Struthio camelus: one gene and its partners. The protein of the gene in region 4 interacts with the protein of the main gene of each other region in a pairwise test. Links are inferred from orthologs where the notes say so. Each region holds a gene or a part of one and is shown on either strand. Other genes may lie near its edges. The genes, in order: FNDC3B, ZMYND19, T-box-containing protein TBX6L and TOX4.

The links.
Region 1: the proteins of TOX4 (region 4) and FNDC3B interact in binary tests that used the Homo sapiens proteins (3 or more experiments, as listed by UniProt). The two-hybrid records come from large-scale screens. The link is inferred for Struthio camelus from reciprocal best matches to the Homo sapiens genes TOX4 and FNDC3B.
Region 2: the proteins of TOX4 (region 4) and ZMYND19 interact in binary tests that used the Homo sapiens proteins (3 or more experiments, as listed by UniProt). The two-hybrid records come from large-scale screens. The link is inferred for Struthio camelus from reciprocal best matches to the Homo sapiens genes TOX4 and ZMYND19.
Region 3: the proteins of TOX4 (region 4) and T-box-containing protein TBX6L interact in binary tests that used the Homo sapiens proteins (3 or more experiments, as listed by UniProt). The link is inferred for Struthio camelus from reciprocal best matches to the Homo sapiens genes TOX4 and TBX6.

The regions. Positions count from the first base shown.
Region 1 is NC_090950.1:27,368,732-27,375,716, forward strand, and holds the start of FNDC3B (fibronectin type III domain-containing protein 3B), read right to left. Parts: upstream 3,013-6,985; 5' UTR 2,680-3,012; intron 2,424-2,679; exon of another isoform or gene 2,249-2,423; intron 1-2,248. UniProt on the Homo sapiens protein: May be a positive regulator of adipogenesis.
Region 2 is NC_090961.1:12,062,822-12,070,089, forward strand, and holds the start of ZMYND19 (zinc finger MYND domain-containing protein 19), read right to left. Parts: upstream 3,010-7,268; 5' UTR 2,902-3,009; coding exon 2,851-2,901; intron 2,569-2,850; coding exon 2,509-2,568; intron 796-2,508; coding exon 689-795; intron 1-688. UniProt on the Homo sapiens protein: May be involved as a regulatory molecule in GPR24/MCH-R1 signaling.
Region 3 is NC_090958.1:9,243,951-9,251,044, forward strand, and holds the start of T-box-containing protein TBX6L, read right to left. Parts: upstream 3,014-7,094; 5' UTR 2,997-3,013; intron 1,564-2,996; 5' UTR 1,450-1,563; intron 1-1,449. Other genes in the region: CABIN1 (calcineurin-binding protein cabin-1), read right to left, coding at 5,814-5,957, 6,458-6,684. UniProt on the Homo sapiens protein: T-box transcription factor that plays an essential role in the determination of the fate of axial stem cells: neural vs mesodermal. Acts in part by down-regulating, a specific enhancer (N1) of SOX2, to inhibit neural development.
Region 4 is NC_090970.1:69,212-77,131, reverse strand, and holds the start of TOX4 (TOX high mobility group box family member 4), read right to left. Parts: upstream 3,017-7,920; 5' UTR 2,631-3,016; coding exon 2,625-2,630; intron 334-2,624; coding exon 265-333; intron 167-264; coding exon 1-166. Other genes in the region: RAB2B (ras-related protein Rab-2B), read left to right, coding at 3,355-3,400, 4,949-5,020, 5,111-5,178, 5,301-5,383, 5,472-5,564, 5,717-6,632. UniProt on the Homo sapiens protein: Transcription factor that modulates cell fate reprogramming from the somatic state to the pluripotent and neuronal fate. In liver, controls the expression of hormone-regulated gluconeogenic genes such as G6PC1 and PCK1.

The DNA of each region.
Region 1 (6,985 bases), on a different chromosome or scaffold from region 4:
TCTTCACACTACAAACAGTTAATTGTACTGTAAACTGTGTGTGTTAGTGTTCAGACTGATGACCTACATTTTTGAAGGAAAAGCCAATTAAACTAATTAGAAAGCTCATGAATACAATCACACATGCATAACTTTGCTGTACGACTTACATGTATTTTTTTGCTCAAATTATGCATTGTAGACGTTTCCCCTTACTGCTCCTCAGGAGAGGAGCTCTCTAAGGAGAGAGAGCACTTAGTAGAATCTATAAAGTGAAAAGAAAAGAGAAAATTCTATGCTAAGAAAGGTAGCGTGCAAGAATCTTCTTTAGGTCCACCAAACACAATACATAGAAGACAAGTGCCAGAACAAATGCACTTCCAATTGGAAGTTACAGACTTAGCTGAGAGTAAAGATAAACTGCTTGCAGTATTAACTTACAAGTCCAAACTTCTCAGCTATAACAGAATACCAGCTTATTTTGGATGCTAAATTTATTCATTTCTTATACTTTGGCCATATATAAGATAACAGTAGGTTAAAAAAAAAAAAAAAAAAAAAACAACCCTCACTGCTCTCCCAGCAGTGACCTTGAACCCAAATCAGATGAATCCTGATGGTGTGTGGGGGGAAAAAAAAAAAATCTTTTTTTTTTAAAACTTCCTCGCACACTCACCCCTGAGCTACATTATGACCACAAACAAGCTTCAAGATACTAAACTGGGAAAAACAATATATGACACTTCTGTGCAAGTAGATCCTTCTGCCACAGCACAGTCCTGGTATAACCACAAAGCACAACTGCTTTAAAACTAATGAGAAGGAACCACAAAGCACTGAAGATTATGAGAAGAGCACTAAGAGACTGCTTCTGTGCAAGACCCTAAGTGACCCCAGGAACGCAGCCAAGAACTGTTTTCTTATTGGTAGCACCAGTAGCATATTCTCTTACTGCTGATAATGACATACAGGTGGTACAAAAGGACTGGGTGAGATAAGCAAGATGCTCTTAATAGGAGGAAACAGCCCATCTCTGAATCCTGAGATTTATGAAACGATGCATTCCGTCTGTCTAGAAGGGTTTCCAGCCAAACACACATTGTGTCCATGCCCAGACCAGCATGGTTCCCTAACAGAGGCGCAGAGCCCCGGCTTATTCTGCCAAACAAGCACAAGCACCAAGACGTTCTGCAAGACCTGGAAATTCCAACCTTTTTTAAGCAAGCTCAGCTGCAAAAAAAGGTTGGGAAACAGTGATTTAGGCTTAAACATGGGCATGTTTGAATTCCTATTACCTTGCACATTGTTAAGCTCAAGCTAGACAGGTTTAACACTTTTTGGAAATTTATTAGTTACTTCTGTTCAGCCCTAGGCACTGCGGGGTAAATTGTTAGGGGTTACAGCAAACGTGCCTAGGGTACAGGGAACTGGGAAATCTGAATTCTGTTCTTAAAGAAAAAACGCACAGAGTTCCCCTCAAAAAAAAAAAAAAGAAAGAAATTTTCCTATATCTCAGTTTCCCGACTGTGAAGGAGTAACTATTACTTTAAGCAAGCAAGCAATTACTTTTAGGTACTCAGACAAAGAAATGCAAATGAAACACAAAATTATTAGCACCGTGAGAGAAGCTCGGGTTCTCCCCTCCACCCCCACCTTATTCCACAAATATAGATGGGATAAAGGGTGTATTGCATTAAATTCCAAGCCGCATTACCTTAGCCAAAACCTTATTTAAATAGAACATTTCTGAGAACTTGGGGGGGGGGGGAGAAGAAGGGAGGGCTGCAGATGTAGTGTTAACCTAAGAGAGGTTAATCCTTTAAAAGAATTTTCCTTTTTTATCCCCCCTCTCTCTCTCCATTCTGTCTCCTGGTAGCATGCCATTAAAAAGAAAAAGGCGTCTGGCAAGCAAAATAAAAAGTTTCCAGGATTTTCCTTCGCGAAGCGGTCCCGGCCAAGGAAGCGGACGGGGAAGGGGGGACGAGGCGGCGCCGCCGGAGCTCCCTCTCCACGGCGCCCCCGGCAGCCGGCGGCGCGGCGAGCAGGAGCCTCCGGCGGCTCCACCTGCGCGGCAGCCCGCGGCCGGGCAGCGGGGCGCAGGCTCCGCACCCGCGGCTCCTTCTGGAGGCAAAGCGAGGACAGGGAAACCGCTTCCTTCCCCTCCCGCCACCTCGCCGCCTTTTTCACACATACACACTATCACCTGGTAGCGCGCATCAGCGCATTTCGCGGAGGAGGAAGCGGGGGGGGGAAGCATAAAAGCACAAACCTCTTCCCAGCCGTGAAGCCGCGTTTCCCCCCTCCGCCTCGTATCGCAACCGCGCGGCCCTCGCACCAGACAGCGGCCGAGGGGCAGGGCACGCCGGCGGCCAGTGGCGGAGGCTGCGCGGGCCGCGGCGCTGACAGGAAGCGCCGCAGCTGCCCCGGGCACCGGCGGCCGCCCTGCTCTACCCCCTGCCCGGCCCCTGCCCGCAGCCCCCTCGAGGCGAAACCTCCGCGGGCTCCCGCTGCCGGCGCCGCCGCCCCTGAGCGGGTTGCGCAGGGGGCGCACCCGCGGCCCGGGGCAGCGCGGCGCAAGCAGAAACTTTCCGCCAACCGCCGCCGCCCGCCCCGAACAAAAGGGTCGGCGGGGCTGGGGGGCTCCTATCTCCCCTCCCTCCCCGCCCGCGGAGCGGGGCGCCCCGGGCGAGGCGTCCTTACCTGGGCGGGCGGCGCGGAGCAGAGCGGAGCGGCAGGGCGGAGAGGCGAGCCCGGGGCGCGGCGGGCGAGTGGCGGCTAGCTGGAGCGGCGGCCAGGCGGGCTTACTGGGGATTCCGCCATGTCAGTGATGTCGGCACCACATGGGCCCTCGCGGCCGGCCCACGCTACCGCGCACTCTGGAGTAGCGGCTCCCGCGGAAAAAGAGGGGAGGGAGGGAGGGAGGGGAGGAGGGGGGAGGAAAAAAAAAAAAAAAAAAAAAAACAGGCTGGGGCGGGCGGCGCGCGGGCCCTCCTGCCCCCCCGCCCCTTTCCCAACGGCCGCGGCGCGCGCTGAGGAGCCGCCCCGCCCCGCCCCGCCCCGCGGCGGCCGTTGGGGCCGCCCCGCCCCGCCCCTCCTTCCCAACGGCCGCGGGGGCACCGAGGCGGGCGGCGGGGTGGGGCCGTGGCTGCCTCTGCCCCCCCAACACGGGGGCGAGCTCCCTCCCCCCCCCCCCTCCATTTCCCACCTCTGCTTTCTGGCCTCGCTTCAGCATCCTCCCCGAGTTCCCACCTCGCCCCTTCCTTCTGCCCCCCCCCCCAGCGCCCCCGTCCTCCCTCCCAACCCACCCCTTCTCCCACCTCTGCCGTGTTGTTTCCGTGGCCGCCAGCGGCAGCCCTGGTGCCTGTCCCCGTCCCCTTCCAGGTGCCCCGTCCTGCTCTGAATCCCGCAGAGGAGAGATGGTGTCCTGCGTAACCTCAATTAACCAGATGCAGACTGCCGAGGAGCCCCGTGTCCTTTGACCTACCCGGTGCGCATCGCCCATCTGCCTCTCATCCCGTCTATCGGATGTTTTTATACGGCATGCACACCAGAAAATGTCTGCATCGTTATTCATTTGCGGATATTTGGGTCACCCCTCGAACGTCAGAGTTTGGGTAACCCCCAAGCCTGCTTCCTGCAGTTAGAGCCTTCTGCAGTTGTGACAGTAGAGAAATACCCCCACAGGATCTCCCTGTTGGAGAAACAGCGCTGCTGAAACAGGGAGGCCCTCATCCAAATAGCTTAAGGCCGGGCTCTTATGTATACTCTGTGTGCCCTTTTGTATTTTCTTGCTGAGGCATCTGCTGTTGGTTGCTGTAAGAGACAAGGTATTGCAGAAGAAGAACCTTTGGTCTGACTCAGTGTGGTCTTTTCTATCTTTCTGTGAGTTTGGAAGTAAGGAGAAGAACCTTTAGGCACGTATTTTCAGAGATTAAGGAGTAGTCTGACATACTTAAATTGTTGGAGACAAAAAGAAGAAAGATTTATCCTTTTGCTCTGGAGTAGAGCCATGAGGAACCACACTGGTAATTTACCTCTCAGCGCAGCATCTAAGCAAGGTGGGAATCACAACTAGAGCTTTAATCTGGCTATAGGAAAAGCTTAAAATAGGACTCTGCCTCACGCACACTACAAATTGCAAGCATATTATGAGGGATCTTTTTATTTGGCCTCAGTCCTTTGGCTATCTACCCTTCTTCAATAACATCTCATCACTGGCATGTCTTCTGCTCCATGTTCTCTTAGACACTATCTATTTTCTTCAATCTTATTTTTCGTAAAGGTTTTTTCAGTAGTTGATTTACTTCATAAGAGCAAGGTTTCCTTTCAGAAGCTAGAAAACTATATCTCTAGAGTCTTATACAGTTCAGGTATATTTTCATTAACTTCCATTAAGACATCCACAAAAACATTTTTCCTGTAGGGCTTCTCGATTTTTCATTTGCTGTTGAAACTCACACTGAAAAACATTAGTTTGGCATAGAAGTTTGGTAAAAATCAAAACATTTTGCCCAACTAAGCTATTCTTTAAGTGTCCAAAACACAGAAAAATGAAAATAAAGTTATCTGAAATAGATAATTCCTATGAAAATAACAAATTAGCATTTTCCCATGGGAAAGATTTTTCAGCGTAAAATGATCAGCCAGCACTAAGTATTGTTCATCGTTAATTGCAAAAACTTTTGTAATGAATAAAATCTAAAAGCAGAAAAATGTTTTGCTTTATTAGTGACCCAAAACACGCAGGCTTTTTGATGATCCTGGATTGAGTTGCAGTCAGATGAGATTAATTATTCACTAGGGTGGTAAAGCCTTTACTTGATCCTGTAGACTGTTTTGTGAAGGAAAGGATAGAGAAAAGGGAAAGAGGAAGGTAGTGAAGAGTGTTGAAAGGAAAAAACACTAATGCAAATCAGAAAATTATAAAAAGACAACATTTAAACTGAAGAGTAAACAATATCAAACCTAAAGGAGAGATAATGAAAATAAATAAAGGAGAGGAAGGAAATAAAACCACTAGGCAGATTTGTTGCTTTCCTATCAGGTGGGCCAGAACAAAAATGCTAGATCCAAGTATGTTCTCATTTTAAGAAACAAAGCAGAGACTCTGGGCATAGGGGCGTTTGGTATGCTGTCCCATCCCCTACAGAAGTAGAGCAATGTCCTCTGCCGTCGTTATGAGTGGGTATTTTAAATTTCTCTGTAGCCATGTAAAGTTTTTACAGTTCACACTTACTTCAGTTTGGTTTCACTGCTGGAGCAGAATTCAGAGACACTCATCCTCAACAACCACATTTGACAACTTTGAGAACAAACGTGCCCAGTTACTTGATTTCCATGTGGATATCCGTCTCACCTGAAACCATAAAATTGGCCAGATTCACATAAAACACAGCAAAGCTATCCTAGAGATAGAAAAAAAGAGTTCTGAAAAAAACTCGTACTCTTCATTTAGAACCGTTTTTGTTCAGCCGCTCTGTGCTGACAAACTCAGGGGCCAGATATAATTAACAGCAATTGTGAAGTGGTTCAGTGGAAACTGGACAGGTTCTAAAAAACAAGGAAAGGGATGGAGGAGAATGAAGCAAGGACTGCTTTTCCTCAAAAAATCCCTACATAAATAACAGATAAAACTAGTTGTTCAATGGCTTACTGCCTGAGGCAGCTGATCAAGGAAGAGCATTAATCAGACCAAGAGGAAATGTCTTCTGCCCCAAAAGGGGTAAGAACTAGTTTAAGCAGCAACACAGCAGGGATGTGTAAATTACTTTGAGGAAAATGACCAACCCAAAATACCCAAATGAGTATAGACTAGAGTCATGAACTTAACTTTGCTGTTTCGATGAGTTTGTGTTTTTGTGAGTCTGAGCTTTCGATAAGATAGATACACATTTTTTGTTTTTCGTAGTGCATCTTTCTGTTTATTCATGAAGCAAGTTGTGTCAGAAATGCAATAGCGCAGGTCTCTCTTACCTCCCTTCCCTTGTGTCCTTGTTGCAGAAGAGCAGGATGAAGGGATCATTCTGCCTCCGTCTTTGGCCTTACTATTGGAATTATGTACCAAGGACAGTCATTCCCAAGATACGGATCTACTGGGATCAGACTGAAACCACTAATTTCTTTCAAATAGGAATTATTTAGCCATCAAACAGTAACAATTTAGGCACTGTTGACTAGGGCTGGATCCAAACCAATTATTCTAAATTCTGTATTCTGTCGTCATTCCCTTCAGCCATCTCGTCCCATTTGGCGAAAAATTCCAGAGAGGGGTCTATGGAAACTCTGTCCATACAATTGGGATGTGACATCTCAGATCAGACATCATTATAAAGGCTGTGAAGACAGTTTTTATTCTCATAAGATACTCTCCCTCAGGTTTCTAATGGGTTTTGAGTTAGACTTTTACTATTTCAATAAGCTGCATGTTCTGTATTCTGGAGGGCAAGTAGGCTGAGATCTTGGCATCAGTTCTGTTTAACAGTGTACAGAGAATGCTTTGATTGCTTTATTTGCAGAATACTGCTTTTTTTTACCTGGGGTGTACTGCCCTCAGTCATTTTTAATACCGCATAGCGCTGGCATGTACACTGAGTGGTTCTGTTCAAACACTGCGTGGCCTGTGGCCACAGGAGTTTTCTCTCCATGTGTTATTAAGGTTCTGAGCAGCTGCTGGGTGGACTGGCTCTGGATTCAGTGTCTAATGTGTTACATTTACAGTGTAAGAGCTCTGGGTTCAGATTCTTGCTCTCAGGGCCAGCAGCAACTTGGACTGAGGAAAAAAGACATACTCAGCCTCGGTGAGAAACATCTTACGCGACCCCACAGCAAACTCTCTGACCAGGCTGAGAATGGGGATCGCTGAATTCCTTCAGTCAGATCTTCCTCTGCTACGGGAAGGGTGGTGTGAGGTGGAAAGGGCAGGCTGCACAAATTAAAAGAACGAATGATCCCCTTAAGAAAACATCCAGAGCAAAATGGATCCTCTCCTCCCTCCTCCTTATGATCA
Region 2 (7,268 bases), on a different chromosome or scaffold from region 4:
ACACACCATATTTTCTACAAAATTAAACTCAGGTCTCATCATGAAGAACATATCTAAAAGGAGCAGACTAACAGCTCATTAGATTAGTCAGGAATACTTACCTCTTACTACTGATTAAGTCAACCTCTGAATGTTAACTGGGAGCTACAAAGGATATCAAGCAATGATTCTTAGAATACAGAAAATAGGAAGTAGCAGCTGAGACAAAGTACCTTCAGCGCTGTTTCATGTAGCTTTCCAGAAGGCTGAACAAAAACCTCCAAAGTTTTAAGTTAGAGGTTCTATCTCTCCAGTGCTCTGCCAATTCTCACTGGTGCCAGTAAGTTATGTGCTTATCACAGGACAAACGGAACACAAAAGGTTAGTCTTCATCCATTAATTTAGATGGAACACCCCCGGGCACACAAGTTTTGGTAGCAATTCTCAGATTTCAACAGTGTCCGCACAAATTATACTCACCTATCACTGTTTTCCCTGGGAATAACATTTTTACAGAGACTCAACTGTTTAAATGACCAGTGCAAAACAAAACTATAATAAGATCTAATGGCACCCACTGTGCTGGGTTCCCAGATGAGTATAGCTGCAAGCCTCCTGAGAAGACTCAAAATACTACAAGCAGAGAAATAAACAACATACAAGTTGCAGGCAGCAAATTGCACCTTAGTGAACCCTTGAAGTTACCTACCAAAGTAGCTCATGTAGCAGGCGGCCAGACCCCCTTCCACGATTTTTGTCAAATGCATAAGCAAATATTTTAGCACCATTTCCATCAGCATCTACCTCCATCCGAGCCTAGAGAAAAGGGAAGACTGTGACTGAGGGCGCCCAACACAGAGTGGCAGAGCACATGCCTTTTGGGATATACAAAAGACCAACATTTACTATTTGGCTCCTACAGACGTAGGAAACCCACCATATAAGATATAGGTCACTTGATCTTAATGGAATTTCACTTGTCTGAAACCTCCAACAGAGAGAAAACAGCTCTGCTATTGTAGCTTATGAAGATGCAAGGCAAAAGGAAGAAAGAAGGCTTTGCACAGCAGGAGTTCCACTTGGACAAAGAACAACAACAATCCAGTTGTTAGCCTGTAGGGCCAGGATCCATTCTCTGCTCTGGCATAGATTTTATGTACAGCCATCAGCAAGTCACCAAGGCTTTGTTTCCAGTATTGCTTTACACCAATCTAATTAGGGGTTGCTAGTGAAAGGAGTGGTCCTGCCCTCTTTTCTCCACTCAGCTCCATAACCTTGTGCAGGCACTAACGCTCTTGCTGTTCCCTGGTACAGTTCACCGTGCAAGCTAGCATACTCTCCACCTCCCCTTAAAATATATATATAGTTTTCAGCCAGATGTTTTTCTCTGATCCAACCCCTGTGGAGTCACACAAGCAGTAGCGTAGCAGAAACACAGATGGGGGAAGAGCGAGTCCCCTCCTTTCAGGGGCAGCGTGGATTTTTGAGTGTTCTGAACCCCCTGTGAAATGAGACCAAGTCCTTGCATGTCCAGCTTCATTTCCCTCCTCTACCACACAAATGAATTACTACAGAGGAGGAAAGAGCAAATACGGTCTTTCTTGATTGGAGCATCACCACAGCACTTAGACACCTAACAGTAACTCTGCAGCACCCACTGTGCTAGGTGCTACGCAAAAAAACGGTCCCCACTCCAAAAACGTGTTAGTTATAGAAGATTTTGCAATGAAGAATTCTTTCTCTTTGTAAGTCTGTAAGGCAGAATCAGCTTACCCTCTTGAAGCATATCTTAAGAGAAAAGTTTTTTCGTTCCATATTAAGCTAACTAAGAGATGTTTTGCCAGTGCAAGACTATGTGCAAAGTGAAGTGTTTTTAAAGTTTTACAAACCAAATAAGGGGAGACAGATTGTGAAAGTTTTCAAAAAATATATACAAGCAGAAGGCTGAAAACAAAAGCTATATAACAAATTAATTTGTTTTAATGCTTGTTTACAAATGAAGGAACGGAACACTTCCCATTTGAAAGCGTTCACACTGTTGTTTCAATATTTTCAAACTTATTTTTTTCCCCCAAAGTAGGAAAGTTATTGCTCGCCAGCGTGATTCCACAAGCAGTTTTATTTAGGCATGTCAAAACAGGAAAAAAAAAACTCACTGACACATTGCAACTACTTCCACCCCCAGGAATACCGCGAACCGCTCTCGCAGCGGAGACCTCGGAGGAGCTGCTGGACCCAAGGGACAGAGCAAAGGGGTATCGCCACCCCCACAAGCTAACGGGGGAGAAAGCAGAGGCCTTGCTGATAGTCTGATCGCACGCACTGAAAAAAGGGAGCCGGTATCGCGATTTAGAGAGAAAAAAAAGAAAGAAAAATAAGAAAAAAAAAAAAGAAACAGCCCCTAAAACCAAGCCCTAAGACAGCATACGATGGGGGAGGGGAAAGGGGGGGCCGGGAACGGAGGGAGAGAAAGTCATGGGGCAGGAGGCGGGCACCGGGGAGGGGGGACCGGGGGCCTCTCCGCCTCACCTCGAAGGAGTAGCTCTCCACCAGCGGGATGTCCTGCTCGTCGATCAGCGTGTACTTGGTCTGAAACACAGAGCGCAGCGGCCGCCGTCAGCCCAGCGGGGCCCCCGCGGCGGCGGCGGCGGCACCGGCGCCCGCCGGGCAGCGCGACACCGGCCGCCGCTGCCCGCGCCTCCCGCCCCGGGGCCGGGCTCGGCGGGCACAGCGCGGCCGGGGGGTGTGGGGAGAAGAGGGGAGCCGCCCGCGCCCCCGCCGCCGCCCCGCGGGCAGCCGCTCCGCCCGGCGCGGCCCGCAGCGCCCGGCCGCGCCCCCCGCGCCCTCAGGCCCCGGCCGCCGCGCGCTCACCTTGCCGGCCACCCGGCCGAGCCGCACGATCCCCAGCTTGAAGTCGGTCATGGCCGGGCCGGGCCGGGCGCCGCCTGCGCTCGCCCCTCGGAGCCCGCGAGCGGGAGCGGAGCCGCCGCCGCCGCTGCCACGCGCCGCCGCCTCGCGCACACCCGGGCTGGGGAGGGGGGGAGGGGGCGGGGCAGCGCACCACCTCCCACCCGCCGCCGCCCGGCCAATGGCAACCCGCGCCCCTGGCGCGTCGCCCCTACTACGCCGCCGGCGCACCCAATCGCCGGGCGGCGCGCGCGCGGGGTCACGTGGGGGCGGGCGCGCGGCCCGGCGCGGCGCGCGCGGGCTCGCGCGCGGGCTCGGCCCCGAGGGGGCGGGGGAGGGAGGCGCGGGCGCTGACGTCACGTTCGCGGGAAGCTTTGTGCCGCCAACACGGGGAGAGCGCGAGCGGTGGGGGCTGGGCTTAAAGGGGCCGCTCGGGCGGGAGGGCCCCGCCCGGCCGGGGGAGGGTCTGGGGCGCCGGGCCGGGCCGGGCCGGGCCGGGCCGGGCCGGGCCGGGCCGAGGCGCGTTGCTGGGACCGTCCGGTGGCTCTGCCCGTGTTGGGCTTGGAAGCGTTCGGTGCTTCCCGTGGCCACGCGGCTACGAGGAAGGCGCTGGCGCCCGGGAAGGGCAGGGCCGGCTGGGGAGCCCCTCCGTGGTGGCGAAGGTCACCCCGGCTGGTGGCCTGAGGTGGCGGTGGGCTGCGCCGGCCGCTTCTGGGCCTTCGGAGGCGGCGGCTGGGCGGCCCTGCTCGGCTGAGACCTGCCGGAGAAGGTGGAGCAGGGCCGGGCGCCCGTGTCCCGGGAGCTGGATGCGGACCCTGCTGCGTTATAAAAGAGATTCACTCTGTGTTGGGATGTGCTGTAATTAATAAGCTGCGCCCTGCAGGCGGGACGCGGGGCCGGTCCTGCCCGGGCTGGGGAAAGAGCCGGATGATCTGCCTTGCTGCAAACGTACAGCTTCGGCGAGGATGTTCTCAGACGCCTTGTGCTGCCGCAGGGTTTGATCGGTGGCTCCGTCCGCCAAAACGACGCGCCGTGCTGGCGGGTGCGGGGTGGTGGGGCTCGTTTCCAGGTCTAGTCGTGACGAACGTCTAGATGAGGGCGAAGAGCTCGCTCCTCGTTTCACAAAAGTCAGGGGAACGGATTTGCAGAGCGTCCGCTGCCCAAGACTCTGCAGTCACAGCTAAGAGCACTGGAAACCACCTTGTTTCCTTGATTGACGTGTGGGCGTTTTCGGCAGCCTGCAGGAACGTTTGGAAGATGTCACGGTCGAAGAGGGGCTTCAAATTGCATATAAATGGATAAAGCAGCCAAGGAGGACGGATCGCTGTCCTTGCCCAATTACCTGGGAAATCACTAGGGCAGAATAGGACAACTGTGCCCCGAAGAACGTGAGCAGCAGGGAAAAGATGTGTTTAAAACGGTGAAAGGAGCATCTAAAGGAGACAGACGTTAAAATATTTAAAATCTAAAGAAGAAGCTTGGAAAACTTTCCTTAAAAACTTTCATTTCTGCGACGGAGCAATCCCATGGAGGAGACATAAACCCCAGCTGCTTCAGGCTCTCATGCCGGACCAGGGAAATTAGACACCGCGGTTTGGAGCAGCCCTTCAGCAGCCAGCAGACCCCGTGGGATCCAGGAAATGCCTAATTCTGCAGGTGCTGCTCCGTGCAGTTGGGGCACGAACCTGACCGCGTTCGTCAGGGCAGCTAGTCGGATAAGGAAACCTTCGTAAGCTGCTAAGCAAAAGTCTTTTTGGCTAATGAGAAAGTCAAGCAAATAGTTGAATCGGGAGCAGAGTATCTATGCAGTGAAAAGAATGCCTTGCTCTTGCAAGAGTCCTTGAGGGAGAAAGATAAATCAAACCTCCGAGAAAGGCAAAGTAGCTGGAAACGTGCAATAAATCCATTAATATACACCCAGGTTTATCAAGGGCATTGCTTCATTTTTGATGACTGTGGCTTTTGATGATTGTGGCCTGCTTTTTAAAAGAGAAAAACAGCAAAGAAGAGTGTATGATACTGCTGATGCCAGGAACAAGTTGTTCGGTGCGGGGGGACTTTGCTCGGGATGTGAAGGGCTTCGCTTCCCCATGGCACCTGCTCTTTTGCTTGGCCCTAGAAACACGCCAAATAAGAATCGGGTCGTTCCCAGCTGGGAAGGGACGGGGAGAAGAAGAGATTGTCCAGGCTAGAGAGAAAATCAGACTAACGCTGGCGGCAAATACCTGCCGGTGACAGGTGTTTGCATTTGCTTTGGGGTGGTCAATGGACTGCAGCCCCGAGATGCTGACGGTACCTGAAGCCTGGGTGCCTCGCCGAGGGCGGCCGGCGCCGGGAGCCCTGGAACGCGCCGGCCGTCACAAAGCGGTGCCGTGAGGTCGCCCCAGGCGAGGGGCTCCCACCGGCGGCCGGCACGTGCCGCGGAGCGGGGCCGCAATGGACTACCGCCAGAAAGTAACCAAGCACATGGCCAGCTACTACATGAACGGCTACCAGCACTGGAAGCCACCGTTCTTCTGCCAGCTTTTCCAGCACCGCTGGTAATTTTGGGCTGTGCGTGGGGATGCGAGGGGGGATGCTTTCCAGCAACGCCCGACTCCTGGAAACCCAAAACCGCCTGTGCATCAGGCGACAAAGAGCACGGACCAGGGAGCAGCCGCCTTGCCCAACTCCACATCTCACTTCCCACTCCCGGTGCGAGGGAGCTCCCAACCCGCCGCCAGAGCCGGGTGCTGCCATCCGCAGCGCGGCCGTGCCGTTCCCCTGGTCCCGTTCACCTGGGGGCGACGCAGCCCAGCCCGGGGCAGTTGCCTTTGACGTCGCCCAAGCTGTCCCTCGCCCTCCGATAGGAACCTGCTGCCCGTGACGGTTGTGCTCTGCCCGCGGCTGCGGCCGGAGCCCGAGGCTTCGACCTGCCGCGTCTGCCTGGATCGTGTGAAGCAGCTGAGCAAGAGGCACTGCCTGCTCCTCTGCGTGGAGGCCCGCAGCGGAGGTGAGTCATGGGTGCACGAGCCCGGCCAGCACCCCGGGCACCCTGCCACCTGATTCCCGGCTGGGGCTCCTGCCGGCCAGCAGCCTCCTCCTTTCTCGTAGGCCGGCGAAAGCTCACTTTGCCATCGCGACTTTCCTTCCCCTTCTGGCACCCTCTGCACCTCCCATGCCCGTCGCGCAGTCCCCTGCCCTTGGGGGACGTGGCAGAAGGGCACGACGTCCCTGAGGTCGCGGGCAGTGTGGGCGGCAGCAGGCGATGGATGGAGACCACCTCGCCTGCCACGTGGAGATCAGGGCATCTTCCCCCAGCACCGGGGTCTTCTGCTGGAGGCGGGCTTGGGTCAACCCCCCGTTCTCAGGGACAGACACAAAACCTGACGCTGCGGGTCGAGCGGCTGCAGTGTCCTCGCGATTGTCTCTGGCTCATGGGTGAGACAGAGCGGTCGGCACCGTCACAAGCAGCTGCTGCTTTAGGGCACCTGGCTGGCAAAGGCACGTTTCTGGTATTGGGAGCTGAGGGGAAGCTGGGCTCTGCTCCCAAACCACGTTAGCCAAAAGCTGCTCAGAAGAAGACAAGCCCCCATGCTGCAGAGCGGCCTGCGACACCAAGACACCGGCGGGGGTCTGGCAGGGCCAGGGGCCCCGCGCCTGCCCCGTATCGCTGCTCTGTGCCCTTCCTCCAGACCGCCGAGCCCCTGCGTGGAGCCAGCCGTCCCCCCGCGTTGATGGTGACAGCCCCGGGCCTGCTGCCGACCTCTCGCCCAGCACCTGGTGCCGTGAGGACACCGCTGCAGCCCAGAGCCGAGCAGGAGAGACCCTTCTGCCAGGTACGCGAGGTGTCCATCTCCCCCAGAACGGCCCCACGGTGCCAAAAGCAGCGATTTGCCCCGTTTGGAAGCAGCAGAGCTGTGAGGACGCTCCACTGCGAGCGGTTCGTACCCCGGTGTGCCGCTCGCAGGCTCAGCAAGGAGCGACGGGTCCTGCCCTCGCGTGAGCACCCTGCCAGCAGCTCCCACCCGCTGGGCAATGCTGGACGTGACCCTCCTTTCCCTTGTCTCTCCTTAAAGCGCACAGAGCTCCTGGGCCACCAGGGTGAAGGTCTCCCCTGGAAAGGGCTCCGTGTTTTGCAATTTTTCACTCTTTTCTTCTGAAGGTGCAGATCACGAAACCAGAAGAAAGCCCTGGCTTCAGAGCAAAAACCCATTCATCAGGAAGATAGATTTAAAGAGCAGAGTCAATGTAGGTTGTTACTATCTTTAAAAGCCCTTTGCCTCCTTTCTAAGAAGTCTAGATTGGAAAAAAAATGAATTGCTGGCAGGGTAGTACCCTCCTTCCAAGTACTATGCAGCTTAGAAGGTAGCGTGGGAAAGGTTATGCATCCCACCCCCAAG
Region 3 (7,094 bases), on a different chromosome or scaffold from region 4:
TGTACCTCAAGATATACTGTCATGGTTCACTGCTGCAAACCGATCAGTAACCTTGAAACCTGCATACTCTACCATCCGAATAGGGGGTAGAGAAATCAAATAGGATAAAAAAAATTATGCCAAAGCAAAGCTAGATGCTCAAAAATGGCAATACACAGGTCTAATTTTGGGTGCTTGTACTGAAACCACCACGCACAAGTGCATTACTGTCACAGCTTTAAGTGGGGCTGGTTGCGCTGCGCCAGTCAAGTTGCTGCTTCACTTGGAGGAACTTCCCTTCCCTTTGGATGCTATTTCTGTCGCGGATAGCAATGATTTCAGAAAACACGGCTGACCAGACTCTGACAGTGCTGGTCACAATGTTACTACAGGACAGCAGAAGAAAAGGGATTAAGGTAAAAAGGCTGTGTACAAGTTTGCGCAAGAGAAAAACGAAATGGGATATCTATGGTGTGCTGGGTCGTGGTTCTGGCGCTCATGCACAACTGCCCAGGTGCACGAGGACTTAGTGATGAACATCAGCTTACTGTGTGCTGGAGGCTTGTGCATATGTGAATGCAGTGCAGGACATTTTGAAGGGATAAAAACTGCACTAAGATGACCACCACGATCCACTTGTTACCAACATCCTTAATGTCATCAGGCTTAAAACTTCTGGTTTTAGTCCTAACAGATTTAAGTTATCTGCCTGCTTTTTTTGTAAGACTTGAGAAAATGAAGCCTATTAGGTTTCCTAAGAAGCTGCTCATTAAGCTTTTAAAACTCTCTTGCCTAAACTGGAACACCACCTAGGTTGGGACAGTATCTAAGTATACCAATGAAACAGCCAGATGAAGGCAGAGTGGGAACCTCAGCTGCAGAAAATAGGTTGGTGGAAGAGTTACAGAGCCGAGTAAGTAAAAGCAGCATGGATAATGACAGAGAGAACAATATAAAGGAACAGGAAAAGCAAGCAGGAGCTGAAAAAACATAACTTCAGTATTTTCTAGAGAATATACCCCCAGATTACTCCTAAAATACTGATGCATACCTTGAAGCTTAGCGCTAGTGGATTCCTAGTAATCAGTCAAAAGAAAGGGAAACATGGCAATTAGCACTCAACATCTACCCTGAACTTCTTGCCATCACCTTCAGCTGCAAGAACAAAGCTCCTATATCCCAGCTCTAAGTAACAGCTCATAAGACTTATGCTTGCTACTTTTTCTTCTAAACATCCCAACTCATTCACTTTACCACGTTGTTCCTTAAAAAAAATACGGCAAGCACCTCCAAGAACAGAAACGAGTTAGGCCCTGTAACACTGTACACACCAGCTATGTCCATCATGAATTTTTCAGCTTCCTAGAAATATCATCACCACTGCCAAAACCAGAACGTTGAATTTAACTGTATGATCTCACCATAGTGAGTTACAGCTTTGTGATTTACAAAACTTAAGTCTATTCTCACCTGGCTCCTCCGTTTCCATTCAGTCTATTTTGTCTCCTAATCGGCTTCTGCTGCCATGCTTTACTCATCTTCTCCTGGTCCCTTTTCTCCCTGACCATATGGTGTTTATTTTGGCTGGAAGAGACATTAATTTCATTATTCATGAGGCAATCTTGTTCTAATTAAAACATAAAAAAACAAGAAACAACAACTGACAAACTCTAGTACTTGATAAAATTAAGGAAGACATGTAATGTGGAATAAAAAGTTATTAGTTTTGGAGGAACAGCATTTCTGAGACAGCAGGAAGAAGCCACTAATAACAGCTGTGCCTAACAGAAAAATTCTTAGTAAAACCCTAGCCCTTGCCTCAGAGATCTGAACTCTCGATGGCCTCAATTACACAGAGATTGTAGAATCCTTGTGCCAGGAAAAGAAACTGCACTCAACACAATTAAATCCCAGTACTATCTACCTTAAGAATAGTGATTAAGGTAGCCAAAAATGATTTGCTTTTTAAATCAATTACTGGCCGAAAGGGGCAAAAAAGGAAAGGAGAAATAGACACCTTCCCGGCCCCTACTTGGGCTTCAGGGTGAACCGAAGTTTTAAATTCTGGACTGGCCTGAGAAAAGCTGGTCACTTCATTGGGGGACACACAAAATCATTGCAAACACAACAGAAGGTACAAGGGAGAGATGCAGAAAGAGGTTAACAAGAAAACTGCCTTTGCTGTGCTCATCTGTTTATATCCAAAATAGCTTCTAACTACATAGAAACAATAAATTCAAATCTTCTGCTGGGTTTTCTAGCTCTGATTATTCTGTAGAAAAATGACATTTGAGTTGGATCTTTTATTTGGCAATCTGAGTTGGATTGAGCGGCATTTGAGTTGGATCTTTTATTTGGCAAACAAGGTTTCATGTTTAAAGCTCTTCCGATGTTACAGCAGTAAGGATAGTATATAATACTATGTTTTAATACATTTTTGTCTGTACATGCAAATTCACTTTAGGCACCAGATACTTCTCTCTCTATAGCTTCACAGGGAAAAGAAACCCAACAAAATAATATATACAGAGCAGCAGTATACTTCAGTAGCTGCCATTTATTTGTCTGGCATAATATTACAAAGAAATCTGGGAACGTAAAGATTTCAGAAGCAACGGTGACCCAGCAAACCCTAAAGACCAAATACTTTATTTATATTTGATATGCAACTATGAAACAGGGGAGTTGATCATTTTGACCTTGCCTATACTGAGATCAAGCTATTATGACTATGATTAAGATAAACTCAAAGACATCGCTTCAAGTAAAATCATAGCTAATTCAGTTTTACCAAAAGACTTTTTTCTTGAAAATTCCATCAAATTTTATCATCAGGCTTCAGAAGACACCCTATTAAGTGAATACTTCTGTTTGCACAGGATTTGAAGTTCCCGCTTCAAGAACCTTTAGGGATGGTGCTTCAGACAAACAGCACACAAAAACGTAGCCAGAGATCTTGGCATCCTCTCCCCAGGACACGGTTCCCTGAATTGAACTACTACATAAACTGTACTTACAGAGAGAGGATTTCATACATATAGAAGAAAAATGGGTCCTTTGGCATAAATCAGCAGTAACACCCATTATGGAAGATGGTCCACAGTTGAGCAGCGCAGTATTTGGCCGTTAGCAGAAGTGCAGGATTCGAAGGCGGCGGCCCACGTAACCCCATCGGTCTCAGTACCCTTTTGACCTTGAGGAAAAAAGTCCTTGAGCCACCTGAGAGCATAATAGGAATGAAAGATCACAGATAAAAAGTAAGAAAAACAGTTAAGACTTTTGAAAATCAGATAAAACAAGTTACACAGTTTTGTAGTTTGAAGATTTAAATGAGTTTAGAGCAGAACAACAATGTTCAGCTCACTTTGCTCATAGGAACAGTTTTAATCATTGTGGTAATTTTCCTTCAGCAATAAAAAACAAAACAAAGCCTTCTCAAAAAAGGAAGGCTGGGAGCCAAAGAAAGATCCAGATCAGACATTTTAGCAAGCACTGGAGGAAAAAATAATTCAAAACACCTAGTTTATAGGAAACCTCAAGAAGAATAAAGGAAAACAACCATTTTCAATGACCAAATTCAATTAAGAAATAGTCTTTTTTTGAAAAATGAGAGACCTAGATTAACTTTACTGAAGATTTGAAATGTTTTTGCCTGAAGACTACACTAAAAATGGTCCCCAAAAAATCAAGTCAAATGCTGAGTCCGCGTACATCAGCCCTATGCTAGATTGTGGGCCCAAGAATTCATAATTGATCTTAAAGTCAGCCATACATTTCAGAATATATATTAGCCAAAAAGCCTATATAGTCTACTCTACTTAAGAGAAAGAGCACTAATTAAAAGTATATCCTCCAAGAATGTTTGGCCCTGCAGTTCACTTTGTGTGTTCCATTTCTCATTACAAGCCGATTTCCTCTTTGTTTTTCCTGTGCTATCTTCTAAAAATACAGATCATTCCTTTTATTTTCCAGAGCTATCTGAGCTTCTTACCAGGCAATGCCTATAGAATATGCTACACACTGTATTTATAATAACTTACACCAATTGAAAACATTTTACTATTGAAAATATACATTTGCTTTTACCTCTCATCCTGATCTTCTCCACATGCCACTTGCAAGCTGCTCATCCATCACTTGCAGTAGGCAAACAAGTTACACGAACAATTGCTAATACGCCCACAATGGGTGTGTTCACCTGCTCAGAAATTACATTTTGTTCAAAATGAACAACACAGAGTACAAGAATGAACTTGCAAGACAAAGTTTGATGCTGCTTCTTTTTATTCAGGGACCATTCGGGTCTCAATGGGGATACTGAACTGGGGGCACGCATGCTTGGCAGCACTGGCTGACCAGGCTCTGGGTCACATAAGACCAAAGCCATCCCAAGAGTTCTGGTGGTCTTTAGGAAAGGAAGTTTTTTTTCCCCTCCTCCAGAACCCTCTTACCCAGGAAATAAAAGGAAGGGAGGAGTGGTATGTTCTCCAGAACCATGGCATCTTGACCTCTCCAACCAACAGAGACAACAGTAAGTACATTTTGACTTTATTAGAAAAAACAAAAACAAAAACCAAAAGTTTATACAAAGCTCTGCATTTCACAGAAAACCACCTTCCCCCGTAACACAAAGAAATCCAACATGGCAAGCTGTATGCATTTTCTTTTATCATATATATAAGTTTGTGTGTGTGTGTGTGTGTGTGTGTGTGTGTGTGTGTGTGTGTGTGTGTACGCATGTTTGTGTGTGTATATATATATCTATATATATCTATATAGCGTGACATGGATTTTTTTTGCACGGTTTGCATTTATTATTTTACAAAGTTAACATTCAGTAGAAAAAAAAAATGATTTTTTTTACCATTATTTTCTCATATAAATAACTGTGAGCAGTCCCTCTGCAGATAGTTAAAAAAACACCTTTTCGTGTCATTCTGTAAAAAACAGACGTTACTGAAATGGTACTGAAATCTTAAATTTTTTTTCAATACCGCCATAAAAATATCATCTAGCCCCCAATTCAAAATGCTTGTCCAAGGCATTAGAAGAGAAAGGACTGTAAGACAATTCTGGAAAGATCAGTTCTTTAAGCCAACATTCAGGTAGATAATTTTTGCTGGACCTCATACATATGAGTGAAATGAGCACAAACAGGAGGCCAACCTCTGTCTGCCTGGAAAACCTGCTTCTTTGCCTTCTGTCCACCTAGTCAGCTCTTAACAAGGCATCCAGCTGTGCCGTGGAGCCAACAGACTTTCAGCTCATTCTTCTCGCCCCAAACTGAAGCCATAGACTTCCCTGATGCCACTGAAAATTCGACTAGTTCAGCAAACTTCTCCTGCTCCATTCACCTTAAATGGAGTTGTTGGTCTAATCATGGTATGGCTAGACAGAGATTAGGCTGCAAAATTATTGGGAGGAAAATTTAACCTGTGGGGAAAATGAAAGACAACTAAAAGGTAGAAAAATGCTATAGAAAAGAGCCGCTGGACTGGCTCCCAAGGCTCTGGTTTGAAGCAGGAACAGTAGAGATGCGAGTTGCAGCTCAAAACATTCTCGTGTTTGCTGAAGTTAAAGGTGACAATGTGGTCCAAATGAAGTAACTGCCTGGTAAACAATCATTCTTTCTGTCGAGCACCATGATGGGGAGAATGGCGAAGATTTTGAAGGCAATACAAGCAGTAGTGGTGGTAACAAAGGTAATGGAAGTGAGGAACACAATGATGTAGATTAAATGGAGAATAATGCCAGCGAAGATGTTTCGCCTGCCAGAGATGCCGGCAACAAGAAGAATGGTTACATGGTTGGTGTTGATGATGGCCAGAATTCATTCATATGTCCATGTAGTCATCATCTTCATCAGTATCACTTTCCAGTGAGGACTCCTGGCTTGAGGTCTCTAAGATTTCCAAAGCTGGCTGACAAAGGCTCTCCTTCTTTACATTCGCTGCAGACTGAGCAGACAAAATAGCAGACTGATCCCAAAAAGAGAGAGAGAGAATATATTGCTAAATAGACAGGATAAACCCATGATCACAGGGATAAAAACCAACTGGCTGCTAGTCCTTCACATTCCTACGTCCTCTTATTTCTATAAATTTATGACATCCTAATGTGAAACAACATAGCATTTACCAATAGGCTTCCCCACAGTTAAAATTTGAGTACCTTCCACTAACATAAGAATTGCAAGGGCTACACTAACTCCCTCACCCGTTTTTGTAATTCCTTCTAATTCCCTCCGAGACAAGGGGCTGGGATAGCTGTGATTTCACTCATGTCCAAAATTTCACTAGTCCTTAAAAACTGACTCCTGCTGATAACAGCTAGCATCTCCTTCAATTACTTCTGCAACCCCTGGTTACAAACTGGGGACAGGAATGGTTGCTCCTCTCACATAGGAATTTTATTCAGGGGAGAATTAAGATAAAAACAATCATCTAAAAAAAAAAAATTAGTGTTTCCCTTTTATTACCTTTAATTTTTGCTTGGTCTCTTCTGAAATGCTGCCCTTTGGAGAAAGGAGGGTGGGAGTGGGTGGAGTGACAGTGATCTCAGGTGGAAATTTGGTGACAGATGAAGGTATGAAAAGCTTTGGCATGTTGGGCAGAATGCGAGTTTTTACACGGGTGCCATCTGTCTTGCTCTGCTGACTTCCCAAAGTCTGTGAGCTGGAGCTGAGTTCAGGCTTGGAACTGGAGGCTAAAGAGAAAATAAATAAGAAAAAAAAAAAACATGTTAGGAGGCTATCTATGATTTCAGATGTCAAAGGAGAGGGAACAGTTGATTGTTAAGCATATGGCTGGCTCAAAAGGCCTTTTTTCAAGCCTCGTTTTAATTAAGGCTCAGAAACAGAAGAAGAAAGCACCTCAAGATTCTACAGTGACAACTGGAAACTGGTCATAATTTTTAAAAATCTTATTGGACAGCAGAAACCCAGCCTGTCTGTGCTTAGCAGGGCAAATGACAGCATAGCCTTGGCCCATTTACATGTCATTAGAAGGTTACTGCAAACATCCACTTGTTGTTTCAGATCCAATCATCTTATCTTTGCATTCTGTAACGCTCGCCACTATGTAATGCAACAAATAAGGCTGCTTCATTTTATGAGG
Region 4 (7,920 bases):
CTTGCACGCCGTACTGGGCGGAGAAACCGGCGTCGGCGGCGCTGCCGGGGTCGCCCAGGTCGTCGAAGTGGCCCACCACGTCGGAGACGGCCAGCGAGGGGTCGGCGTCCAGGGCGATGGGGGGGATCTCGAACTCCTCGTCGCCCAGGCTGGGCGTGTGGAAGGTCTGCGCGGCGAGGAGGAGGAGGAGGAGGAGGAAGGTGGGGCTGCCCCACCGCCCCGTTTCCTCCGCCGACCGGCCCCCCCCCCCCGCCGCCGCCTCACCTCGGCCCCCGTCAGGAAGGGGTGAGCCGTGCCGGTGATGGCCAGGTAGTTGTCGTTGCCGCCGGGGAACTGCGCGGCGCCCGGCCGGCCGGGAGGGAGAGAAACGGAGGCGGCTGAGGACAGCAACGGGCCGCCGGCACCTCCCCGGCGCTCCCAGTAGCCCCCAGCACCCTCCCAGCGCTCCCCAATACCCCCAGAACCCTCCCACTGTCCCCCAAACCCCCCTAACAGCCCCCAGCACCCTCCCAGTGCCCCCAACACCTCCCAACAGCCCCCAGCACCCTCCCAGTGCCCCCCAAGCCCCCCTAACAGCCCCCAGCACCCTCCCAGTGCTCCCAGCACCCCCCAGAACCCTCCCAGTGTCCCCCAAGCCCCCCTAACAGCCCCCAGCACCCTCCCAGTGCCCCCCAAACCCCCCTAACAGCTCCCAGCACCCTCCCAGTGCCCCCAGCACCTCCCAACAGCCCCCAGCACCCTCCCAGTGCTCCCAGCACCCCCCAGAACCCTCCCACTGTCCCCCAAACCCCCCTAACAGCCCCCAGCACCCTCCCAGTGTCCCCCAAACCCCCCTAACAGCTCCCAGCACCCTCCCAGTGCCCCCAACACCTCCCAACAGCCCCCAGCACCCTCCCAGTGCCCCCAGCACCCCCCAGCACCCTCCCAGTGTCCCCCAAACCCCCCCAATAGCCCCCAGCACCCTCCCAGTGCCCCCAACACCTCCCAACAGCCCCCAGCACCCTCCCAGTGCCCCCAGCACCCCCCAGAACCCTCCCAGTGCCCCCCAAACCCCCCCAATAGCCCCCAGCACCCTCCCAGTGCCCCATGCACCTCCCAATAGCCTCCAGCACCCTCCTAACAGCCCCCAGCACCCTCCCAGTGCCCCCAGCAGCCCCCAGCACCCTCCCAGTGCCCCCAATAGCTCCCAGTTCCGCCCCAGTGTGCCCCCAGCACCCCCTAATAGATCCCAACACCCCCCATCTCCCCCCCAGCACCCCCCAGTAACCCCCAGCACCCCTATGTCCCACCATCTGCCCCAACACCACCCAGCTCCCCCAGCTCTCCCCAGTAGCCCCCAACACCAACTCCCCCCATCACCCCCCAACAGCCCCCAGCACCCCATCTCCCCCATCACCCCCCAGCAGCCCCCATCGCCCCCCAATAGCCCCCAGCACCCCCATCTCCCCCCATCTCCTCCCCAGCAGTCCCCAGTACCCCCTATATACCCCTATATCCCCCCATATCCCCCCAAGAAGCCCCCAGCACCTCCTATCTCCCCTAACTCCCCCCATATCCCCCCCAGTAGCCCCCAGCACCCCCAACTCCCCCCCCACCCCCCAACACCCTCCATCTCCCCCCCAGCACCCCCTATCTACCCTAACTCCCCCCATATCCCCCCTAATAGCCCCCAACACCCCCCAACTCCCCCCATCGCCCCCCAACACCCTCCATCTCCCCCCCAGCAGCCCCCAACACCCCCTATATCCCCCTAACTCCCCCCATATCCCCCCCAGCAGCCCCCAACACCCCCCAACTCACCCCCATATCCCCCTAGTAACCCCCAACACCCCCCAACTCCCCCCATCGCCCCCCAACACCCTCCATCTCCCCCCCAGCAGCCCCCAGCACCCCCTATATACCCCTAACTCCCCCCATATCCCCCCAGTAGCCCCCAGCACCCCCTAACTCCCCCCATATCCCCCAACTCCCCCCAACACCCTCCATCTCCCCCCCAGCACCCCCCAGCACCCCCTATCTCCCCTAACTACCCCCATCTCCCCCCCAGTAGCCCCCAACTCCCCCCAACTCCCCCCATCGCCCCCCAACACCTCCATCTCCCCCCCCAGCAGCCCCCAGCACCCCCTATCTCCCCTAACTCCCTCCATCTCCCCCCAGCACCCCCTATATCCCAACTCCCCCCATATCCCCCCCAGCAGCCCCCAGCACCCCCTATATCCCAACTCCCCCCATATCCCCCCCAGCAGCCCCCAACACCCCCTATATCCCCCTAACTCCCCCCATATCCCCCCCAGCAGCCCCCAACACCCCCTATATCCCCCTAACTCTCTCCATCTCCCCCCCAGCAGCCCCCAGCACCCCCTATATCCCCCTAACTCCCCCCATCTCCCCCCCAGCAGCCCCCAACACCCCCTATATCCCCCTAACTCTCTCCATCTCCCCCCCAGCAGCCCCCAGCACCCCCTATCTCCCCCTAACTCCCCCCATATCCCCCCCAGTAGCCCCCAGCACCCCCTAACTCCCCTCATCGCCCCCCCATCTCCCCCCCCCGGTGCCCGGCTCTCCCCACGGGGCCTCCACCTCCACGACAACACCTCCCCCCCCCGGTCCCGGGCCCCGCTCACCTCCATGGCGCCGCCGCCGCCGAGCGAGAGTCTCCCCGCGACGCGCTCCGGCCCCCGACCCCGGAAGCGGAAGTCCCGCCTCCCCGCCCTCGCGTCACGCCGCGTCACTCCACTTCCGGCGCGAGGGTCATAGAGGCGGCCTCTCCCTCCCTCCCTCCCCCCCCCGCCGGCGGCGGGAGCCCCCCTAGGAGACGGGGTGGGAGGGGGAAAAAAGTCGCGTTTGGGTCTTTTCTGGCCCTGCCGAGCTGGCAGGGCCGGGTAGGAGCAGTGGAGCCGGCGGCCCCCGGCCCCAGAGCGCCCAGGTTCTGCCTAGAGCGCCGCCGGAAGCGGGAGGAGTAGAGGCGGCCGCCGGGGCGGGCAGAGCGCCGCCGGAAGCGGGAGGAGTAGAGGCGGCCGCCGGGGCGGGCAGAGCGCCGCCGGAAGCGGGAGGAGTAGAGGCGGCCGCCGGGGCGGGCAGAGCGCCGCCGGAAGCGGGAGGAGTAGAGGCGGCCGCCGGGGCGGGCAGAGCGCCGCCGGAAGCGGGAGGAGTAGAGGCGGCCGCCGGGGCGGGCAGAGCGCCGCCGGAAGCCGGAGGAGTAGAGGCGGCCGCCGGGGCGGGCAGAGCGCCGCCGGAAGCCGGAGGAGTAGAGGCGGCCTCCGGGGCGGGCAGAGCGCCGCCGGAAGCCGGAGGAGTAGAGGCGGCCGGCCTCCGAGGACAGAGCGGCCCTGGGCGGACCTGGTTCCGGGCATCATGTCTTACGCGTATCTCTTCAAATACATCATCATCGGCGATACCGGTACCGGGCCGGGGGGCAGGAAGGGTCTCTGAGGGGGCAGGAGAGCCTGAAGTGGGGCAGGAAGGGGCTGTGGGGGGGAGAAAGGGGTCTGAGGGGGGAAGGAAGGGTCTCTAGGGAGCACAGGAAGGGGCTCTGGGGGGCAGGATGGGGCTCTGGGGGGCACAGAAAGGGGGTCTGGGGGGCAGAAAAGGGTCTGGGGGCAGGAAGAGGCTCTAGGGAGCACAGGAGGGGCTTTGGGGGGCAAAAAGAGGCTTTGGGGGGACAGGAAGGGGCTCTGAGGGGGCAGGAGGGGGTCTGAGGGGGCAGGAGGGGGTCTGAGGGGGCAGGAGGGGGCTCTGGGGGGGCACAGAAAGGGGGTCTGGGGGCAGGAAGAGGCTCTAGGGAGCACAGGAAGGGACTTTGGGGGGCAAAAAGGGGCTTTGGGGGACAGGAAGGGGTCTGGGGGGGAAGGAAGGGGCTTTGAGGGGGCAGAAAGGGGTCTGAGGGGGCAGGATGGGGCTCTGGGAGGCACAGAAAGGGGCTCTGGGGGGGCAGGATGGGGCTCGAGGGAGGACAGGAAGGGGATTTGGGGGGCAAAAAGGGGCTTTGGGGGGCAGGAAGGGGTCTGGGGTGGAGGAAGAGGTTCTAGGGGGGCAGGAATGGGTCTGGAGGAAAGGAAGGGGCTTTGAAGGCGCAGAAAGGGGCTCTAGGGAGCACAGGAAGGGGCTTTGGGGGGGCAGGAATGGGCTCTGGGGGGCACAGAAAGGGGCTTTAGGGGGGCAGGAGAGGGTTGAAGGAGGCAGGATGGGGCTCTGGGGGGCAGAAAGGGGTCTGGGGGGCAGGAAGGGGCTCTAGGGAGCACAGGAAGGGGATTTGGGGGGCAAAAGGGGGCTTTGGGGGGGCAGGAAGGGGTTGGAGGGGGCAGGATGGGGCTCTGTGGGGGCAGAAAGGGGTCTGGGGTGGAGGAAGAGGCTCTGGGGGAGGCAGGAAGGGGTCTGGAGGGGAAGGAAGGGGCTTTGGGGGGGCAGGATGGGACTCTGGGGGTGCAGAAAGGGGGTCTGAGGGGGCAGGATGGGTTTCGGGGGGGGGTAGAAGAGCCTGAAGTGGGGCAGGAAGGGGCTTTGGAGGGGCAGGAAGGGGTCTAAGGGAGGAGGAAGGGGCTTTAGGGGGGCATGAAGGGCTCTGGGGGACAGGAAAGGGGTTGGGGGGACAAGAGGGGGCTCTGGGGGGACAAGAGGGGGCTTTGGGGGGACAGGAAAGGGGTCTGGGGGGACAGGAAAGGGGTCTGGGGGGAGGAAGGGGCTCTGGGGGGACAAGAGGGGTCTCTGGGGGGGCAGGAAGGGGCTTTAGGGGGGCAGAAGAGCCTGAGGGGGGCAGAAAGGGGTCATTTGGGGGGGGGGATTGAGGGGGGAGGCAAAAGGGGGCCGGTGGCCGGAGGGAGCTGGGGGTGTGGGGAGCAGCCAGGATGTAGGAGAGGGGGGAGAAAACAAGGGGGGAGGTATTTTTGGGGGGAGATCGAGGGCAGCAGTCGCGGAGGGAGCCGGAGCCCGTCCGTCCGTCCGCCCGCAGGCGTCGGCAAGTCCTGCCTGCTGCTGCAGTTCACCGACAAGCGCTTCCAGCCCGTCCACGACCTGACCATCGGTGAGGATCCCGGCCGGAGCGGAGCCCGGCCCCGCGTTTCCCCCGGCTCCTCCGAGCCCGCGTCCGGCAGCCCCGCGCCCTCTCTTGCAGGCGTCGAGTTCGGGGCGCGCATGATCAGCGTCGAGAACAAGCAGATCAAGCTGCAGATCTGGGATACGGTGAGGCCGCGGGGGAGAAAGAAAAAACAGCAGCGTATCGGGACCATCCCTTTTTTTTAAAAAGAAAAAAACAAAAAACTCTCTCTCTCTCTCTATATATATAAATATCTCTCTTTTTCCAGGCTGGACAGGAGTCTTTCCGCTCGATCACGCGTTCCTACTACCGAGGAGCGGCCGGGGCGCTGCTGGTTTACGATATCACCAGGTATCGCCGCCGGCCGCGCTCGCGTCGGCCTCGACGTCGTCCCCCCTCCGCCGCCCCCCACCCCGAATCGCTCTTGGCCCCCGCGCAGGCGCGAGACCTTCAACCACTTGACGTCCTGGCTGGAAGACGCCCGCCAACACTCCAGCTCCAACATGGTCATCATGCTGATCGGGAACAAGAGGTTAAATAAAAACAACAAGAGCGAGTCCGGAGACTCGTCCCGGACTCTAAGAAGGGAGGTTTTTTTGTTTTTTCGTTTTTTTCACCCACCTCACCCCCCCTTTCTTTTCTTGCGTCCTGCCCCTCGGCCGAATCCGTCTCCTGCCTCGGCAGCGACCTGGAGTCGCGGCGGGACGTGCGGAAGGAGGAGGGCGAAGCCTTCGCCCGGGAGCACGGGCTGGTTTTCATGGAGACGTCGGCTAAGACGGCGGCCAACGTCGAAGAGGTGAAGGGATTATTTGGGGGGGGGGGCCGGCGGTTATATAAATACACATACGTATATATTTCTTTATGCTTTCCTGCTCGCCGGTGGGAAATCCCCTCTCAGAGCCACTGGGGGCAGCTGGTTTTCCCTCTTTTTTTTTTTTTTGTTTTTTCCTCCTTTTTTTTCCCCCTTTTTTTCCCCCCTCCTTTTTTTGCCTCTCGTTGGCAGGCGTTTATCGACACGGCCAAGGAGATCTACGGCAAGATCCAGCAGGGCCTGTTCGACGTGAGCAACGAGGTGAGCGCCCGGAGCCGGCGGGGCAGAGGGAAGCGGCGGCTCCCGCTCCCCTCTCTCCCCGATTCTCCTTTTCCAGGCCAACGGCATCAAAATCGGTCCCCAGCAACCCGCGGGGACGGCGCCTTCCTCCGCCGCCCGACACGGCGCTCCGGGCTCGGGAGACGGTTCCGGCTGCTGCTGAACGAATCGCCCCCTTCGTTTTGGGTTGGAGGGAAAAGGAGAGGAAAAAAGACGGCGGCTTCGAGCTGCGTTTCTCGCCGGGGCGGCTCCGCTGCCGCTTCAGCGCCGTCTCCGCTGCCTGTAAACGAGCTTTTTTTTTTTTTTTTTTTTTCTCTTTTTTTGATTTTTCAGTTTTCTTTTTTTAAACGCCGTGACCGCTCGCGGCGTCGTTCGACGCCGGCCGCCTCCGTAAATCCCCCGGCCCAGCCCCGACCACGATGTTTTCGGCACGGGAATTTCCCGCCCCGAACCTCCTCGTCGCCTCTTTCCCGCGAACGATCCCATTTCCCCCCCCAATTTCCCATCTGATTCAATCCCGTTTTCCCACCTGATTCAATCCCTTTCCTCCCCGTTTCCCCCATTTCCCACCCAATTCGATCCCATTTCCCCCCATTTTCCCACCTGATTTGATCCTGTTTCCTCCCTTTTCCCCATTTCCCACCCGACTCAATCCCATTTCCCCCCATTTTCCCCATTTCCCACCCGACTCGATCCTGGTTTCCTCCCCGTTTCCCCCCCATTTTCCCTCCCGATTTGAGCCCGTTTCCTCAGTTTTCCTCATTTTCCCCAGATTCAATCCTGTTTCCCCCCCTTTTTCCCACCCGATTCGGTCCCGTTTCCTCCCCCTCCACCGACACGTTTTCGCTCCGGTGAGGAAAACTACTCGCGGCCGAGCATCAGTTTTGGAGCTGGGGCAGGTTGTTTTGGGTTTTTTTTTTTTCCTCCTCCTCTTTTCACTCGCGCGACGTGCGGCGCTGGAGGGGAGGACGAGCGGTCGGGATAAAGCGCTTTGGCCAAAATCGCAGGGTTTCGCCTTCTTTCTCCTCGCCCCAAAAAACAGAAACACAGCAATTGTGCAGAAAAGCAAAAAAAAAAAAAAAAAAAATATATATATATATATATCTATACACATACACAAAATATACTTTTTTTTTTCTGTTAAACAATGCAGACGTTTCACGTTCACCTGTTCTGCCTTATAAACAGGAACATGAAGTATTTTAAAGGGCTTTTTCCTCATTTTCCTCAAGCATTTCCTTTTTCCGCTATAGGGAAAGATGAAAACTTACAGCAGCAGCAGGATTTTTGCTTTTTTTTGTTTTTCCCCCCATTTTCCTTAAAAAAAAAAACCCCAACAAACAGCTGCTTGAGTTTCAAAAAGGTGGTTTTGGGGTTTTTTTTCCCCCTCTCCCGTCATGAATTTGCGGGGAAACGGTTTTGCCGGGGAAAAGCCGCTTCGGGGACGCCCGAGTTAGGAAAACACCAAAAAGCGGCTGGCGGGGCAGGGTGCTAATTTATCATTTTTTTTACCTCTTTTTTCCCTTATATTTTATTAAATACGAAAACATGCTTTGTTGAGGGCGGAAATGAGCTTTTGGGGGCTCGTTTCGGGCTTTTAAGGGGTTTAGCCGCCTTCGGGCGTCTATTTTACAGCTTTTTATTAAAATAAGAGCCCAAGGTGGGGGGGGGGAGGCACTTTTGAGCTTATTTTCCAGAAAAAAACAAGCTTTTTGAGCTTGTTTTCCGCTTGTTATTTCATTTCCCCCCCACATTATTATTTTGTTTTAAAAGTGGAAATAAGCCGAAGCAGCTCCGT